Linked DNA regions of Mytilus edulis. The protein of the gene in region 1 interacts with the protein of each later gene in a biochemical or structural test. Links are inferred from orthologs where the notes say so. Each region holds a gene or a part of one and is shown in the gene's direction. Other genes may lie near its edges.

Region 1 (9,515 bases):
GTAAGTTAAGAGAATATGGGATAAAAAAAAAACAACAGAAAATGAGAGCAAGTAAGCACTATGCTTTGAATTTAATGCAGACTGTTAAAGTAAATTTAAATTATTATTATAAGCAAAACAAAATGCAATAATATTTTACCTGCACAAGTATCCATTGCAGCAAACAGCCAACTACTGCTTGTCTTTAGCCCTGGAGTTGGAGGTCCTAGGTCATCTGATTTTAAAGGATCAAATGAAGTAATGTCCAGCTCAGGTAATGAGGTACTTAACATGGACTCAGCATCTATAGCTTCTGAATCATCAGTATCATCAAAGGAGTTCAGACTGATGTTGTCAGGAACTCGGGGGAAATTCCATACTCCTTCTAAACTTTCATCTGTGTCACTGTAAAAAAAAGAAAATAAATATGTCCATAGTGATTTGTCAAATTCAACCAGTTCTTTAGAATTGACAAGACAAGATCTAAATAAAAAATCTAAAATAAATATTTCTTCTTCACAAGATTGAAAAATTTGCTTAATATTGCCATTATTTGTTTTATCAATTGAAATTATAAAACAGCTACTCACTACTAAGTCAATGAAAAAGTTTATAATTTAAATTAATTTTGATTGATTGGTGTTTAATGTACTTTTAACACTTTTGTGATATATCCTGCCTATCAGTTTTTATTGTTGTAGGAATCCGGAGTGCCCAGAGAGAACCACCAACCTTTGGTTGGAAAATAAATTTTGAAATGAATGTATAAACTATGTAAAATTTTGTATCTTTTCACTTACCCATTCTCTTGTTGTGAACTATTCCCGTTACTGTTTTCTTCATCAGGAGGATGTTTGACTGGTTGTATGGGTTCCGTCTCTTTCTTTTTATTATTTTGTGGATTAGCTGACTGCATTATGTCCAGTTTTGATGGCTTTAATACTTTACCAGATACTCCTTCTTTAACTTTTCCACCCTTTAAGAAAGAAATAAATGAATTATTTCATGATCACAAGAATATCTACTCACATTTTAAGAGCAGAGAGCAATAATGGCATTATTTAACAAAGTTTTTAACTGAAATTTGTATCCTATATCCTAATTTGGCCAATTTGATAAGATACTTCAGGACTTGCTTTTCCGTTTGAATTTCCCTGCTTACAAGGAAGATAATTAACCTAGTGTTCTTTATGAGGAGTTAAAGTCACCTCTTTAAATTTATAGGACAACATGATTTGGGTGACTTTTGTGTGTAGTTTTGTGGAATGTTGTCTTCTCTTTCTTTTAGTCATATAGTTAACTAATTTTTTGTTTACAGTTTTTAAATTTAATCCTGGTATCTTCTTACTTTTTTGTTTAAATAACATTTTTAATTGTGTCAATTGATACATGCCTTAGAAGTCTTCTAAAAAATCTTATATATGACTTCTTTGAAAATGTCCTTTTTTTGGTTTAGAGGAAATTTTTTATATTCCCTCTAAACCAAAAATAGGACATTTTCAAAGAAGTCATACATAAGATTTTTTAGACAACATGATTTGGGTGACTTTTATTTTACATTTTCAATAATTAGCACATTCTGACTGCTCTTTTCAAAGAAAACAATCATTTTTACAATGTTTCACAAACCTTAAGAAATTCTTCAAAAATTTTAGAGTTATATAAATGTGGCTGACTTCCTATGAAGACTAAGAGATCTATGGCACTTTTTCTTCTTTCTTCAATAACTGTTTCTTCAAACCTTCCTGTATAAGCATGAAAAAAATTACACAGTTGATTAGATCGGGTAGTTTAAGAACTCTTTAAACTTCCTTTATCCTGAACTAATGGCAAAATATAACATCCAATTGTATATACATCTTATCATAAAAATTTCTAATAGTAATTTAAATGATGGCAAAATATGACATGCAATTGTAAATAATTCTCATCATAAAAATTTAACAAAAGTAATTTAAAGAGAGGCGGCATATTGAATTGACTGAATTTTAAATTCAATATAATAAATCTGCTGCATATTTCTAAACATATTTTCAACAGGCAAAGACATACTCAAATATTACACTTGATTTAATGCAGTTATACATAGTAATCTTTGGAACTATATAATTCTTTAGGTCTTATTTGGATAAATGAATAAATCGTTGCCAGGCTTATCTGCTAAAAAAAGTAAACACATCAAAAGAGTATCTGAGAAAATAATTTTGTTCACATAAAACATGAACCATACCAAACAACTTTGGTTTAGCGAATACTGGGAATGGGTTCCTTCTGTGTAAAGCTTTGTGTAAGTTTATCATTCCCTTGTATAATTCTTTAAAGTCATTATATCTCTTCCATATGATGATCTGAAAATACAAAACATAATTAAATTCTAATTTTCTGAACAAATTATAATGGATTAGATATGAAAATATATTATTATCATGGTTATTTAGTTACAAACGAATTCTACTAACTTTAGGTGAAACACTCTAAAATGTCATTCTGAATACTTAAAAAGATATATTTTCATGACAGGGTCATTTTTAGCTTGTTATTGTCCTATTTTTCAATTATTCTCTCATCATCAGCAAGAGTGATTTTAAGCTGAATCTCATTGTGACAGTGTGTATTGGAGTCTATATCCCCAGAGCTTCAGTTTTCAGTGTCGTCTGTTAACCTTACATGTAGCTGTATTTGGCAAATTAAACATATCAGAATTTTAGATCCTCAATGCTCTTCAACTTATGTTTTTGATTTGAGTATAACTAATGCGTTTTGGTAGACATCATGCACGTCTTGCATATGAAATTTTAATACTGGTATCTATGATGGGTCTATTTTTACATCGTTATTTTTAAGTATTGTCCTAGTCCTGGTGTATTAATGGATTGTATCAGTCTTAATTGGGGTTATCTAATTATGTTTTTTTCAGTCCTCTATTACAAGTTTAATACATTCTTACAATAACACTGTTATAACGTTTCTCAGGATTCAACTTTTTTGTAAAATTTTACCACCTTTTGAATTTTGCATTTTCTATGCCATGCATAATTTTTCACAGTACATTGTACCAGCAATGTCAAATCTATTCATGAAACAAGAATGTGTCTCCAGTACATGGATGCCCCATCCGCACTATCATTTTCTATGTTCAGTGGACCGTGAAAATTGGGTAAAAACTCTAATTTGACATTAAAATTAGAAAGATCATATCAACAGGTACTAAGTTTCAAAATGATTGGACTTCAACTTTATAAAAAACTACCTTGACCAAAAACTTTAACCTGAAGCATAACAGACAGACTAACGAATGGACGGACAGACAGACGAACGAACAGACCCACAGACCAGAAAACATAATGCCCATAAATGAGACATAACAACATCAAAAAGGTTCAATTTTCATTCCAAAAGGAAGGATGGGTCATTCACTTTACTTTATTGTTTTGAATTGTTACTATGTCCTTGATTTTTCTGAGACATAACTATTTATTTCAAGCTGTTATTAATACAAACCTCTGTGAGCTTATCTGATTCAGACATTCTAAAAACCTAGAAATATAAAATAAAAACAGATACATAATATAATTAGATGTCAATAAAACAGTTAATCTGTAATAAAAAAACACACATTAACAATTTTTTGCACTTGCTGAATAAAAGGAGTTAATTATAAGCAGGTAAAAGGAGTGCATCACAAGAAACAGTGGCAAAGTCGATGATGCAAGAACAATGAAGCTTACTTAACAAATTAAACACGATTTAAATCTACCCGATCTATAATTTACATGTATGCTTCCTATGGCTGCTTATATTATATGTCATGTAAGACATGTAAGATGTATAATGACCTAAATTTTAAGATTTTTCTAGTTTAAATTTTTTGAAACATGTATGAATGCTTTAATTTAAAGAACAATGTTCAGTCTCCCTATTAACTTTTTTGGTAATTGTGTGCATAGAAATATTCTTTTCTTAAAACATCTGTGACAGGATTGCTATTCTTATATGTGGTAGATACTTACCGTATAGCAGGTCATTTTTGCGGGTGTAAAATTTCAAAATTTTTATTGAATAAGGTATATGCAATATTTTGACAGTTATTATTTTGGCGGATTCAAAACTTATCAATATCCCCTTTTAATTGGTGGAATTTATTTTGGCGATCTTGTTCTATCTGCCAAAAATAAGCGAAAATTTACACCCCTCAAAAATAACCCACTATACGGTATATAATTAGTCAGTCATAAGCGGTTGACCTAAGGAAGACATTAATCCTGCGCGAGCTCAGTCAGTATAGGGGCTACCTTGTAACACAGAGGTCGAGGGTTAGAGTCCCTGTGGAGACCAGTAATTTTGTAATGAAACTCATGCTCTCTGGCTACTTTGGCCCTAACTAAAAAAACTCACAGTGGTAAGGGAAGGATTCTAGCTAGGGTATGTGAGTGAGAGTCATAATGGTATGATAACTATTGAGGTGAGGGAATTATGTGTGACTGGATTGCTTTCCTTAGTAAATCACTAAATGTGGTAGATAATTAGCTCAGTCGGGATACATGCTGCCTTGTAACACAGAGGTCCAAGAATCAAGCCCCGTCGGAAACATGGTTGATTTTAAATGGAGAATCATGCTCTCCGGTCCAGTTATAACATGTACATGATTTCCTACTAATTTGTACATGTATATATATCTGCCAGGAAAAAAATATGCACCAATAACCTTTGATTGAACACCTGACACCAAGTAGCAGATGCTACAATTTTAGAAAGAATGAGTCGACCCAGTGCAGGTGGACAGGCCTAGCAGTACTAGCATTGTAGAAAACACGATTCCCAACTGGTTAAAACGTATTGTGCATTGCCAGTGCATATAGCAAACATGCGGATTTTGAGTATGTAAATACTGACACATACAAAAAAATGTAATCAGTTTCCTATCAGTTCACTGATTCTAATATTTTTTACCCGGTTTGTGACGTTGAGGGTTGTTCTTGTGGGCTAATTTTATAGGGTAACTAAGAATGATATGGAGTTCAATTACGAATTTAAACGTACTCTAATTGTAACTTTATAAATTGTGAAGCCATTTGGATGTAATGTTGGATCAGAAACATTAAAATTCCATATTTTATCTTGCACAGATGTTTGACGTTTCATTCTCGATGCCATTTTCGACTTGCGGTGTTATGTCGTAAAATCGTAATGATAAGTCTCTTCTATAAGATTGTTTTATATAAACATCCTTATTTCTTATGTTATAAATATTTTCTGTTTTCTTACAGTAAAAGACGAAAATTTCTTCATCAAATACAAAAATAATGTGTATGTCGTAAAAGTATGAGAACAACTGTATTCCTGCTCATGACTCATTAGGGGACCAGATTTAAGCATTAAATTATTAAAAATGGGACTTTTAACCATTCTTAAGAAAATGAAACAGAAAGAAAAGGAAGTCAGACTTCTGATGTTGTATCCTTTTTGTTTTACTTGTGACTTAATCATTTTGTTCTCTATTTTATATGTAAATGCACAAGATTATTCCATATTTCAATTATTTGTATCAAAAAGTGAAAAACTTGCCATTACCTATCGTGTATCGTGTTTCTTTTGGTTCTTCTTCTTCTTCTTTCAGTACAGAGTCGGACTCTTCTTGAGTGTATAAATGACTCTTGCTCGTGAAATCATGAGGCCTTCCCTCCTCACTTAATAAAAACTATTTACAGGAAAAATTATTTACAAATAAAACTATGTACATCTGGGGTCAAAGGAGATCTAGGTGTGTGAAGCTCCTGTCAAGGCCTCTGGCAGGATGGTAAGGCTGGCCTTGAACTCTTCTAGTGTAGCTGCTGTTGTGGCTTTTTCCGGTAGAGTGTTCCATTCCCTGGTTGATCTTGGGAAGAAGGAGTACCTGTATTGGTCTTTTAGAGTGCGCTGTTGGTGTATGCGGTGGCCTCCTCTGGTCCTTGAATCTCCGGGTTTGTAATAATTAGAGGGGTCAATATCCACCAATCTATTGCGGATCTTATATGCCATGGTGAGTCGGTCTTTGCAGCGGCGATCTTTAAGAGGCTCCCATTTTAGTCTCTCCATTAAGGAGCTGACACAACCTGGGGATACATCTTGGTATTCATTGTACACGAACCTAGCTGCCCTTCTCTGTACTTGTTCTAGGTCTTTTTCAAGGGTATGTTGGTAAGGGTCCCATACAGTGGAGGCATATTCCAGGGTAGGTCTGACCATGGTGATATAGGCGTTAGCTTTGACTTCTGGTTTACACCGTCCTAGGTTCCTTCTCAAAAAGCCTAGTGTCCTTGATGCTTTGCCTACCGTCTGGTTGATATGTGTCTTCCACTGTAGGTCATTGTTTATGGTGACTCCCAGGTATTTCCCATGCTCGACTGCATCTAGTGTGTGACCATGTAGTTGGTAGTTCGTTATCAGTGGGTTTCTTTTGTTGGTAATCCGTATCACGATGCATTTCTCAGGATGGAAATTCATCTGCCATTGTGATTCCCACTCTTGGAGTTTGTTAAGGTCGTCTTGGAGTGTCTCGCTATCCTTTATATTCTTTATTTTTCTGTAAACTAGGCAATCGTCTGCAAATAACCTTGCCTCAGAAGATGTTGATTGTGGCAGGTCATTAATATAAGCCAGAAATAATAGGGGTCCGATGACTGTTCCCTGAGGCACCCCTGAGATGACGTCTAGGGGGCCAGACTTATGCCCTTCAAGCAATACGGATTGTGTTCTCTTGCTTAGGAAGTCTTGTATCCATTTGAGTGTTACTCCACGTATTCCGTAATAGTCCATTTTTTGGAGGAGTCTCTTGTGGGGCACTTTGTCAAAGGCTTTGGAGAAATCAAGCAGGTTAGTACTTCGCTTAAGGGTTAGTAATGAAAGGCGTGTGTTCATATCAAATTGTATTCAAATTATGCATTGAACTTTGCGCACAAGTCAACGTTACGTAAACTTGCAATATTCAACGTAAACAATACACCTTATCACTAATACCGGCTGACCCGGCCGCTTGAACTTGTGACGCATACAACAATCACTTTTCCATTGTGGCGTCAGATATTTTGTTTTATGACGTCAAAATATTACGGGAACCTGTGTGATATCCAGTAATGGCGGATAAATAGCGATAAGGTGTATAGGTAACGTTAGTGATGTTAGTTACTTAGTAAATGTACAGCAGCTAATACTTGAGACTGGGGGCGCTGAAAAATGAAAATTAATCTAAAATTATTAAAAAGAAATGAGCATACAAAGTGTGAAATGATAATTAACCATTTAAAGTCCATGTTATAAAATAGAAATTGTTGAATTGTCTATTCAGTATGATCATTATCAAAATTATGGCACACTTGATAAGTATATTGTCATGAAAATATTAAGTCCATGTTTGAATCTTTAGCTTGGCTTCAGTTTTACTCGGTGCTCTGTCTCCGTGAATTTTCATCATTTCTGGTTCCCTGCTTAATGTGTGTATCCTACCATTATTCTTCATTGTGTTGCTGTTTGATTGATACATCTCACAAAAGTCTTTGTTAATTTCAGTTGAATTGTCAGATACAACTCCCATTGATTCGATTTTCCCAAAACGTTTCAAATCGACTTCTTCTGTTTTGTGTTGTAACATGAAAAATGAGGATGTGGGTCCAGCTGAGGCTTTCATTGGTCCAGAAAGTAGGTATCCGAGTTTCGATTCTACTGCGGTCGGGCCTGGTCCACAGATAACTGTGTCTTCTACGATATCCCAGTAGTAATCCGAACCTATTAAAAATGAAATCCTGAATTTATCCATGTCCCTAACAGAATGCGCTAATCTAAGTCTACTGAGGTAAGGCAGTTTGGTAGAATTATCGAGTCGATGATAATGTACATGTATATGATATCTGTTTTAGGTTTATTGTTTAGTGATGTTGTAAATTTTCAGAAAAGTGCACACATAGAAAAATAGTGTATGGGAGCTGAGACTACTATAACACATAGTTATGTGTTTATTATAGTAGTCTCAGATAGGAGAGACATTTTAAACCCCTAACATGCAATATCCTTCATCCCTCTTCAGGTTTGGAGACTTTTGTAGTTGATCTGCAACACTTGATTTTAGACAATAGTCACATACTTATTGAACAATTGTGGTCAGCTGGTGTTCACATGTACTATATATTTACCTGATAAATAAAGTACTTGGATAAAACTGTAAAACCAATTGGTTTGATATGCTTCCATAGGGAGCATAAAGGGTAGAACAGTTGAATTGGATCTTCTTTAATAGAAGGAGAACACAGCTGGTTTACCATGTAAGTGCATCTTGGTGTTCCCCATATCTCAAACCCTCTTTAATCTTTTTCCTGGAATTAAAAATCATCAATTCCTGATATTTGGTTTCAAGCTTCATGCAAACATGGTTTAAAGTATGATACATTTTCACTCACTCATCAACTTCCTTATCGAATGAATTTACACAGATATGAACACCTATTTAGAAGATTTAAAGGTACTTTTTAAAAAGGCTTTGAACCTTTTTATATAGTTTAAAATTTGGAAAAGAGGTGTGGTGGTATAATTGCCAATGAGATAACTTTTAATCCGAGTCCAAATTATGTGGATGTCAGTATTAGACCGTGCAACGTTTCCAAAACTGATCAAGGACAATGAAGCATATCTTTTGATTATCAAACCTTAACATCATGTAGGGGATTGGACAATGCTGGAAAAACAACGATTCTAAAGAAATTTAATGGTGAAGATATAGATACAATTTCACCAACACTTGGATTTAATATCAAAACACTGGAACATAAAGGGTAAGATAACTGTCATGACTGTTTATCTTTCAGTTGGTAAGATATTCATTTTAAAAAAAACACCACAGTAACATATATGTATTGTTTCATTTTGGGATTTTAACAATTCAACTATGAGTCTTGTGAAATGGTAGATAGAATATGATATAAATATTAAAGCAGATATATATTTGGTATAAATAAATTCAGATTTGTATTTCTACAAAAAATATTACCATGATTACAAAAAACAGTTATTTCAGGAGATTAATTTTAAGAGAACAAGCTAGAGAGTTAAAACTTGAATAATCTTCATGAACGAATATTCAAGTTAGTGGGCTGTGAATCTTAAGGCACAATTTTACATGCAAAAAAAGAATAATTATTATTAAATGAATTCAAAGATACTATTTGAGAATGGTTTAGGACTGCACAATTTATAGTAGGTCTAGTTCATTTATGTACATGTATTCACATTTATAATCTTATTGATTAATTAATGTATAGGGAAATTAAAGTTTTTGTTGAAGTTACTATTGTTTCTATTTTTAAGGTTTAAACTAAACATTTGGGATGTTGGAGGTCAGAAATCACTACGATCCTACTGGAGGAATTATTTTGAGAGTACTGATGGTTTGATTTGGGTTGTAGATAGTGCTGACAGAATGAGAATGAACGACTGTAAACAAGAACTTCAGGCATTACTAGTGGAGGAGGTACAATACTTTTCTGATATAATTGACCTTTCGAACATAC
Region 2 (8,705 bases), on another chromosome or scaffold:
CACGTACTGTAGTACGACGTTAGATTAAAATTGACGTGGAAAGGTAACACCCGGCCACCGAAAGCTTCATTTTTATAAAGCCTAGGTGGTGATGTGGTCTAGCGGTACGGCTACCGTGCAGGCGATTTGGCGGTATCACGATATCTCAGTAGCATGGGTTCGAATCCCGGCGAGGAGAACAAAAAAATTGTGAAAGCAAATTTACAGATCTAACATTGTTGGGTTGATGTTTGGACGAGTTGAATATATATACATGTATATATATATAATTTTCATCCATTTGTATATCATTCTATTCTACAATTTTAATAATAGTGCAGTACAAGTACATGGAAGACACTCTTCTGTAATAATTCGATTTTTCTAATAGATTGGATTTGAGTCGGCATTCATATTTTCCCGCAAAACGATCTTGTGATATTTTTCCACAAGCCAATTTTTAACATACCTTTAAAATCTTATAAGAAAGAAGAGACCTCCCGAACTGAGGTACCATTAAAACTAACCCCTGGTTTTCTGGACATCTTAAATTAGTTTACTATTGTAATAGATGTGACTTGATGTGGCTAGGTTAATTCCCCTTAATTTTGACAGATTAATTATTTAGTATTTAAATGTTTATTTTACTATATATAAGTTTAATTTGATATAAACATAGTAAGACTAAATAAAGTAAGGATTGTTTATTTTACTGTTTTTAAAAGTATTTAACTTTTGATGTTTTATAGTGTTTTAAGAATATTCATTTATTCAACTTGCTTCAGTATCTTTTCTATTAAAGTTAGTTTGATTAATGACAAGTTTATAGAATTTCATTTGATATTCAGTCGGAGTCGGCCTTGCATAGGCCTCCAAATACTCGCCGGAATGTATCATTCCACTCGAGGCTCTCGGGAACTAAAATAGTACCACCGGAGCATAGAGGATTAGCCACCACTTCGGTGCAGTTTGCCAGAGTTAGTCACCCCTTTTTGGTGCAAATTTTACTACTTTAAAACACAACGCGAAGCTAATTGGCTTAACTTTTAAGACTATCTCTGGGAACACTTTATTTTCATTTTACATTTGAAATTAAATAAAACTCTAATTTTGAACATCATTTAAGATCACCCCTAGTTTTTTATGGGGTTCGTGTTGTTTATTCTTTAGTTTTCTGTGTTGTGTAATGTTTACTATTGTTTTTCTGTTTGTCTTTTTTCATTTTTAGCCATGGCGTTGTCAGTTTGTTTTAGATTTATGAGCTTGACTGTCCCTTTGGTATCTTTCGTCCCTCTTTTAAGAAATTTATATACTCTGTTTATTTCCGACTTTGTTTGATTCAATTATTGTACATTTGTGAATAAAATTTGTTTCATTTGATTTATTGTCTGTTGTTCAGCCATAATCTGATATCAGGTATCCCGATGGTCGAATAGGGGCGAAGTACTGGCCACTACACGTGCCGGGAGGTGTCTTCACCGACCCCCTCCGTTACACTATGTAGCGCATTAATCCTCAATGTCAAGTTTTATAATACAAACTTATAGACAAGTAAATTTTGGCTCAAAAGGGTCTTAATACATTTTTCTTTCAACAAAACTTTCATTTCGGCCAATATAGGCACTTCGAAGCCATACTCCTTTGTTGGTTAGTTTAATTAAACAATGACATCAAATGTATTATTTTTGGTACGAGTAGTGTGCATAGATATTAATGATTATTTACCTTTATATATATTTCTAACGACAAATCATTTTTATATTATTAATTTATGTTCTAAAAAAATATGTTTATGATTATTTATTGAATAAATAATTTTTAATGACTGTTATTTTGCACTCGATATTGTCCGCGAATTTATACGGTCGGTTAAAAACGAAAGTCAAACCTCTGTGTGGGTTTGTGGTCTATTGGTTAAGACCGATGGCTACAGTGCTGAAGGTCCCGAGTTCGATTCTCACTCGAGACGTCGAATTTTCAGTACATCAGTAGGGTGATTTTCACCCTTCCACACACATCTCTGGTATCCAGACTGGAGTTTAAACTAGATTGAATACCTCGCGATCGGTAGGACAAAGTTGTTCCCAGCTTGACCTGAAAATCAATCTTCTGAAATCTCTTCGGGTTGTCTGTTCCCGCCGAAAAGCCCGGTGGTTCTCTCCGAGTACTTCGGCTTCCTCCAACATAATAACAGACTTCCCGGTGTCCTACACGCTCCCTTTGGTGGTGTTGGGTGGTGATTGTTCTGGTGGTGGGTTTATTATGTAAAGGACACATCTCCATTAATCCTTAGGGAGTGTGCAGGAATCCTCAGTACCATTGCAGTCAATCAAGGGGTTCGTCTACACTGGTAGGAATCTCGAAGACAATACATACATACATGTTGCAACAATACATCGGAATGCCCTCACGGTCATCGACGCGATGTAAAAATGGTCAAATAGATTATGATATGACGGTATTCTATCAATGATGGTCTTGGAGGAGGTGCGTTCATAAAGTGTTCCAAAAATGGTTAGTCTAATAACTTACGTAATCATTGTCAAACCAAATTGACGACACAGCACCACCAAGACAATAAGACGACAAACATTTCTACTTACTGTAAAAGCTTTATGACAAACGGTACCAACTACATCTGTACATTTTTTATTCACAAGCGCTTACCAAAATTCATTCTCCGTGAAACTTATGTTTGAAAATCTTAATTATACATATCCGCATTCAAACTAAAACAAACTTACAGCGCTCATTTCCGACAGCGGAAGTCACGTCCTTTTCAGACTGGTTTGCATTCAAAAAAATGAATTGGAGAATTATATTTATACCTTTATGGAATTTTCTTTGCCATGAAATATCTCGATTACATCAACTAAGGCAATAACATTCATCTTAAATCAGTTCAATCTAAACTGAATACCTCCTTACTTAGTTGATTACGTACCTATCATCTCTTACTTAAGAATGAAAATGGGGGATGGGGGATGTTTCAAACAGACAAGACCAAAGGACAGAAAATATTTACCTATAGCAAGCCTATTGCAATTTAAAAGTTGACGACTTTCAAAAATAAACGTGACTCCAGCCATGTGCTATTCCCTTATTCATAGATAACAGAACATTGTCAAAATCTGCAAGATGTGTGATTCAAAAGTGCAAAATATGGCTAGGGGCACGCCCCTGTTTTTGTGAGGAAAATTTGGTTGATTATATAGGGAATCACTGAAGCATGACTGGAACGGGCTCCCCTTATGAAAAGTTTTGTATTCGCCACTGCAAATATATCAGATGGTAACACAACTTTAATATACTAATAGATTCAGTCGAGAATTATACCAGGCAATGGTCTTTAACCGAAAAACAAGACATCGATTTAAAACCCAAATATTGCTAACCATAATAATTATGTTTTACCTCAATCAAAAATACTTTATTATCCCCGTTGATAAAGCCTCAAACATCATTGTTTTAGTGCGATATCCACATTACATTAAATGCTTGATACAGGAATAAGGTATTGACTATTGACATCGATAGTCAGCATATTCTCCCAAAACACTTACCAAAGTGAAAATCCTGAATAATCGTGGGTTTGTCATGTACGTGTTCCTTTCGAATTTCAACCAAAGATGAAGAACTGAACTTCATTTTTTAAACAAAATACACATGTGACCTAGAGAAGTAAAAAAATAACATACTTACTGTATTAAAAGACCACGAGTCGGAGGAAAATTGAAACGAATCAGATTTAAATTTGATGTAAAGGAATTAAATGCATGAGATCATAAAAAAAAATTTGATGAATGAAGTTATCATTGTTTATTGTGTTTTCACTAAGATTCTTGACTGTTCATTTGCATTTTAACTTCCTTAACACAAATTCAGTGTTTTCATCTTAATAAAGGCAAAGCGGTTCATGTCAATTGCGAATGTTATACTTTTTTTGGGGGGAAATATGATATATATAAAAAAGAAGATATGGTATGATTGCCAATGAGATAGCTGTCCACAAGAGATAAAAATTACACAGACATTAACAACTATAGGTCACCGTACGGCCTTCAACAATGAGCAAAGCCCATACCGCATAGTCAGCTATAAAAGGCCCCGATAAGACAAAGTAAAACAATTCAAACGAGAAAAAAAATTATTTATGTAAAAAAATGAACGAAAAAAAATAAAATATGTAACACATAAACAAACGACAACCACTGAATTGCAGGCTCCTGACTTGGGAGAGGCACATACAAAAATAATGTGGTGGTGTTAAACATGTTGGTGGGATGCATACTTTGTTGTTGTAATAAAATTGAGCTACATTCTTGAGGGCCCTCATGGGGTTTTTGATTATGTGATTACTTGGCCGTTTTTTTAATGATTATTTGATTATTAAGCCAAATATTTTATGATTATTTGATTACCTAGGACTGTATTTTTAGTTTATGATTATTTGATTACTAAAGATAAGCAAATATTTAATGATTATGTGATTATATTGGCAAAAAAATGGTGATTATGTGATTACTAGGACCCCCATGAGGGGCCTCATTCTTCACATGATGCACATCTGTATGGTATTCAAGCTATCAATTATTTGGTATGCGTAAAAACAAAAGGAGTGTTCTTCCAAGATTAATTTTGAAATATACTTCAAATTGATGCATGATCCTATACATATTTTTTTTTATAAAAAGCATAAAAATTACATTTAAAAGAAGAAAATTATAATACAGGTCCGTCAGTTATATCATCTTTTTCTGTTCTTTCTTTACTAATAACTTCCGTAACGAAATGTTGTGCAGGTTTGTAAAATGAGTCAAAATATAAAAATGAAAGGATATTTCTGGGTATTTTTGTTGTTTTCTTATCACATTGTGTGTGTTTATAAATATTTGAAGGAAAAAAAATACTACATAGCATAAATTTGGGGAAACTTTTTCGCTTTATTTTTTTAGGAATTGGTTCAAATTGACTGACCGACATTTGTTCAGATTCGTTATATGAGCGTCCCTGCATGATGAGTCATATGTTGACGAAAAGTGCGGCGTATGGCGCAATTAAATTGAAAATTTCAATCCTGGTATATATGATGAGTTTATTATTATTACTGGGTCTACCACGACATATTTCCAAGATAATTATAGATTAATTACAGTATAACGGGCTTTTTAGCGGGTAATTTATTCTCGTTTTAGGGTACCAAGAATACAGAATTTGTGGCGGATTCTTGATTACCAATAAAAAAATGACGGATACTGAATAAGATGCTGTTAAGCAAAATGCGAAAATAGGAAGAACAAAGTGATTTGTCCATTTAGTGAAAGTTTAGTATTTTAGTGATTTTACTTTTTACTGTCTACAATGTAGTTAGGATGTTTTGATGTGATACATGTTTTATTGAAATTATGTCTACATCTATTCATACATTGTTAATTGTTTTTTTCTGTCTTTGGCTTTAATTGAAGTGCCTTACAATATTGTATCCGGAACCACTCCCCTCACAAAAACATATGATATCATATATCTAGTATTCAATATCTTTAATGTTTCCTGATTCTTACTGTTATTTTTTAACGATGTACCAATCATTTCTCTTTGGATTATCACTTTTGAAAATGCTGTCAGGTGTCGAATTTAATATCGATTGGCGTTTTTAAATTTAAACATTTTAAATAACTGCCGAAAGAGCCGAATTGACTTGGAAAAAAAACCGCGAAAATCAAGGGCAGATAATGCAGCAAAACCCGATTTCTCTCGTATTTTTCCGATACATCAACAGAAAAAGGCCGTAATGTTATTCGATTCCTAAGCATGGCGGACAACATCGAAGACGATGAAAAAGAAATTGGAAAAGGCCACATACTTGAAGAATTCAAGGAAATCAATGAAATCAAAGGACTGATAGATAATCTGAAAGATATATTTAAAGACCAGGTAGCAGTTGAAACCACTGTCGAGAGATTTACATGTAAGAAAGCTACGATAAAATGTGTAACACTGATAGACAAACAAACATAACTCATGACTCATTAAAAATAGTTTAACATGATCAAACATAATTTAATTGAATACATATTTCAATCAGAAATTATGACCAATACCTTTTAAAAGTTCAGATTTGTGAGGCATGAAAAGTAGAATTGAACAACAGTGCCCAACTATAAACATAAAAGAAAAAAAGGGGGATCTGATTTCGAAATCCAGAACTTAATTTGATTGATTGATTGATTGTTGGTTGCTTAACGTCCAGTGGTAAATATTTCATGCATATTCAGGACGAGAACAAGTTCACAATAAATACAATAGGTAGGTCTTGTCATAATAGAGGCCATAAGGGATGATAGTCAGGGAAATTTCGACTGCCACTTGAAAATGAGGGTATATTGGATAGGGACAGAAATTTTGCCTTACAACAGGCCACCTACGGGCCCTCAACAAGTTGTTGTAAGGGTTCTTAACGTGCAAAGAGCGTGGCACTCTCTATACACGAGACATCAAATTTAACGTCCCAATTCTAACCGGACGTGACTGTGAACTTAATACCAGAGTTCGCGAAATCTTTTTTTCCCTGGTGGTCCATGAAGAAAATCTACTGGTCCTCACTACTAATTCTATTGAAAAATACTAAAATTGTGTCTGTCCTATAGATGAAAATTTTGGTGGTAAAATCCTGAGGACTGACACTTTTCGTGAACTCTGTAATACATCCCGCACAGCCAAACGGACGCCTCACTTCGGCAAGCGTTTTATTGCCGGTCGGTAGAAGACCAAGTGACCATATTTCTATTCTCCAGTCACCCTTGGGGGAGAATTTAATTTGAAAAAACGTGCAAAATTCTAAAGACTAAAGTGATCTTGGAAAACACAATGGAGATTTTTTTTTAATTTAAAGTAGACAGGTATGGGATAGTTATTTATTATTTAATAAGGATTTAAATGTTGCTTTATACAATGTTACGTATTATCATGATCAGTGTTCCCTCTAGGCCGTTTTCAGAGGGCGCGGTGCCCGCCCTTCCTGAATGCCACCCTGTGCCCTTTTTACAGTTTCCAGGGCGCCCTGGCTTTTGAAGATCGATTGTATATTATTTTGTTCCTATTAATGATATGATCCGCTAATTACTAAATTTTACCTGGCGATAAGTTATGACTTTGTTTACGACCCCAAGCTAATCAACGGTTTTAACTGGTGTCATAATCTGTTGTTATAGGTAATCCGTTTATCGGATGGGTCATTAATGATCATCAACATTAATTCATTCAAATAGAATCGGTCAATCTGCAATTATATTTGAAGAAATGTGCATACGACAACTTAGGCACAATTTGCAATGTTTACCGTAGTTTCATGGAGAAAATGTAATGACAGAAAGTTGAAAACCATAAACAACTCGTGGAAGACATCGTTCTACTGGTTCTCCGTGAAATAAATAGCAAATTCAGACGTATTTGTTATTGACTGCCCTCATATTATTGTTGATCATATTTACATCTTCTAAGTACTGTTTATAATCCTCCAAAGAAGGAGCACACCTGAATAAAGAAAGATAACTCAATCTGATTATTTCATAGCATTGAGTAACCCACTTAACATATTCTAAAATATGTCTTCATACTTCTTGCTTAAGAATATATATGTTTAAGTATTTTGAGTTATGGGAAAAGTTAAAGAGGGTCTTAGTAGCAGTGTTGGTAGGGTGTCTTGGTCATCTTTTTCTGTATTCTTTATTTTTAATACAAATTTTCACTGTTGCTATATCCTAACACTGCACACAGCTGTTTTGTGCTGTATTGCCATTAAGCACAGCAGAGGTAGAAATGTGAAACTGGTAAAGTGTGTCAGACCATAGAAACAGAATGAAGCAGGTCACCTTTCAAAACATACTGCATATAAAGCTCAACTGTGCCAATCAATGAACTAAAAACTTGTCTGACAAGCTGTTTGACAAGTTTTTCAGCCTTAAAAGTAGAAAGATAGAGTTCTAAATGGACTTATGATGTTGCTCTTGTGTAACCAGTGATTCAATGAATAAACACAATGTTTGATAAATAATATCTTTATTAAAACATGCCCTTTTCATATTATCATATTACGCGTTAAATGCCCTTTTTCAGGATTGGCACCCTGCCCTTTTGGAATCCTAGCTGGAACACTAATGATTATCATGTTTATGATATGCATTATCACACAAGACTTGGTGAGATCATGTGACGGGTAAAGTTTATCATGTTTATGATGTGCATTATCACACAAGACTTGGTGAGATCATGTGACGGGTAAAGTTTATCATGTTTATGATGTGCATTATCACACAAGACTTGGTGAGATCATGTGACGGGTAAAGTTTATCATGTGATGGGTAAAGTTTATCATGTTTATACTAGTCTCTATTTTACAGTTATTGTTGACAAGTACCAAGAACAGCCTCATCTAATAGATGGACATTTAGGTATGTTTTCTGATATATATGTATAGATTGTCTTAGACATCTAGGTAAACGTTTATTGATTGTCCCACCTGCGGTAGTGTTATTTTCTGTATACATATACATCTTGAAACTGTTAACAATAAGCTTCCCCTGTAATGAGCTGCTTTGGAATCATAAGTACTATTTGTTGATATAACCAATTTTGATGGATTTTGTGGGTTAGGGATAATCCTGTCCAACAAAGCAGTAATTTTTAAACGCATGTAAGCAAACATGCACAAAATCATGAAATCAAAT

What was found.
Region 2: the proteins of ADP-ribosylation factor-like protein 2 (region 1) and tubulin-specific chaperone D-like form a complex in vitro, tested with the Homo sapiens proteins (2 studies listed by BioGRID and IntAct). The link is inferred for Mytilus edulis from reciprocal best matches to the Homo sapiens genes ARL2 and TBCD.

What each region holds. Positions count from the first base shown.
Region 1 is NC_092346.1:19,391,694-19,401,208, forward strand, and holds the start of ADP-ribosylation factor-like protein 2, read left to right. Parts: upstream 1-5,292; 5' UTR 5,293-5,368; coding exon 5,369-5,433; intron 5,434-8,669; coding exon 8,670-8,780; intron 8,781-9,312; coding exon 9,313-9,475; intron 9,476-9,515. Other genes in the region: ribosomal protein S6 kinase delta-1-like, read right to left, coding at 140-384, 780-955, 1,609-1,724, 2,210-2,327, 3,481-3,516, 5,020-5,133. UniProt on the Homo sapiens protein: Small GTP-binding protein which cycles between an inactive GDP-bound and an active GTP-bound form, and the rate of cycling is regulated by guanine nucleotide exchange factors (GEF) and GTPase-activating proteins (GAP).
Region 2 is NC_092352.1:73,254,330-73,263,034, forward strand, and holds the start of tubulin-specific chaperone D-like, read left to right. Parts: upstream 1-5,174; 5' UTR 5,175-5,790; coding exon 5,791-5,947; intron 5,948-8,378; coding exon 8,379-8,429; intron 8,430-8,705.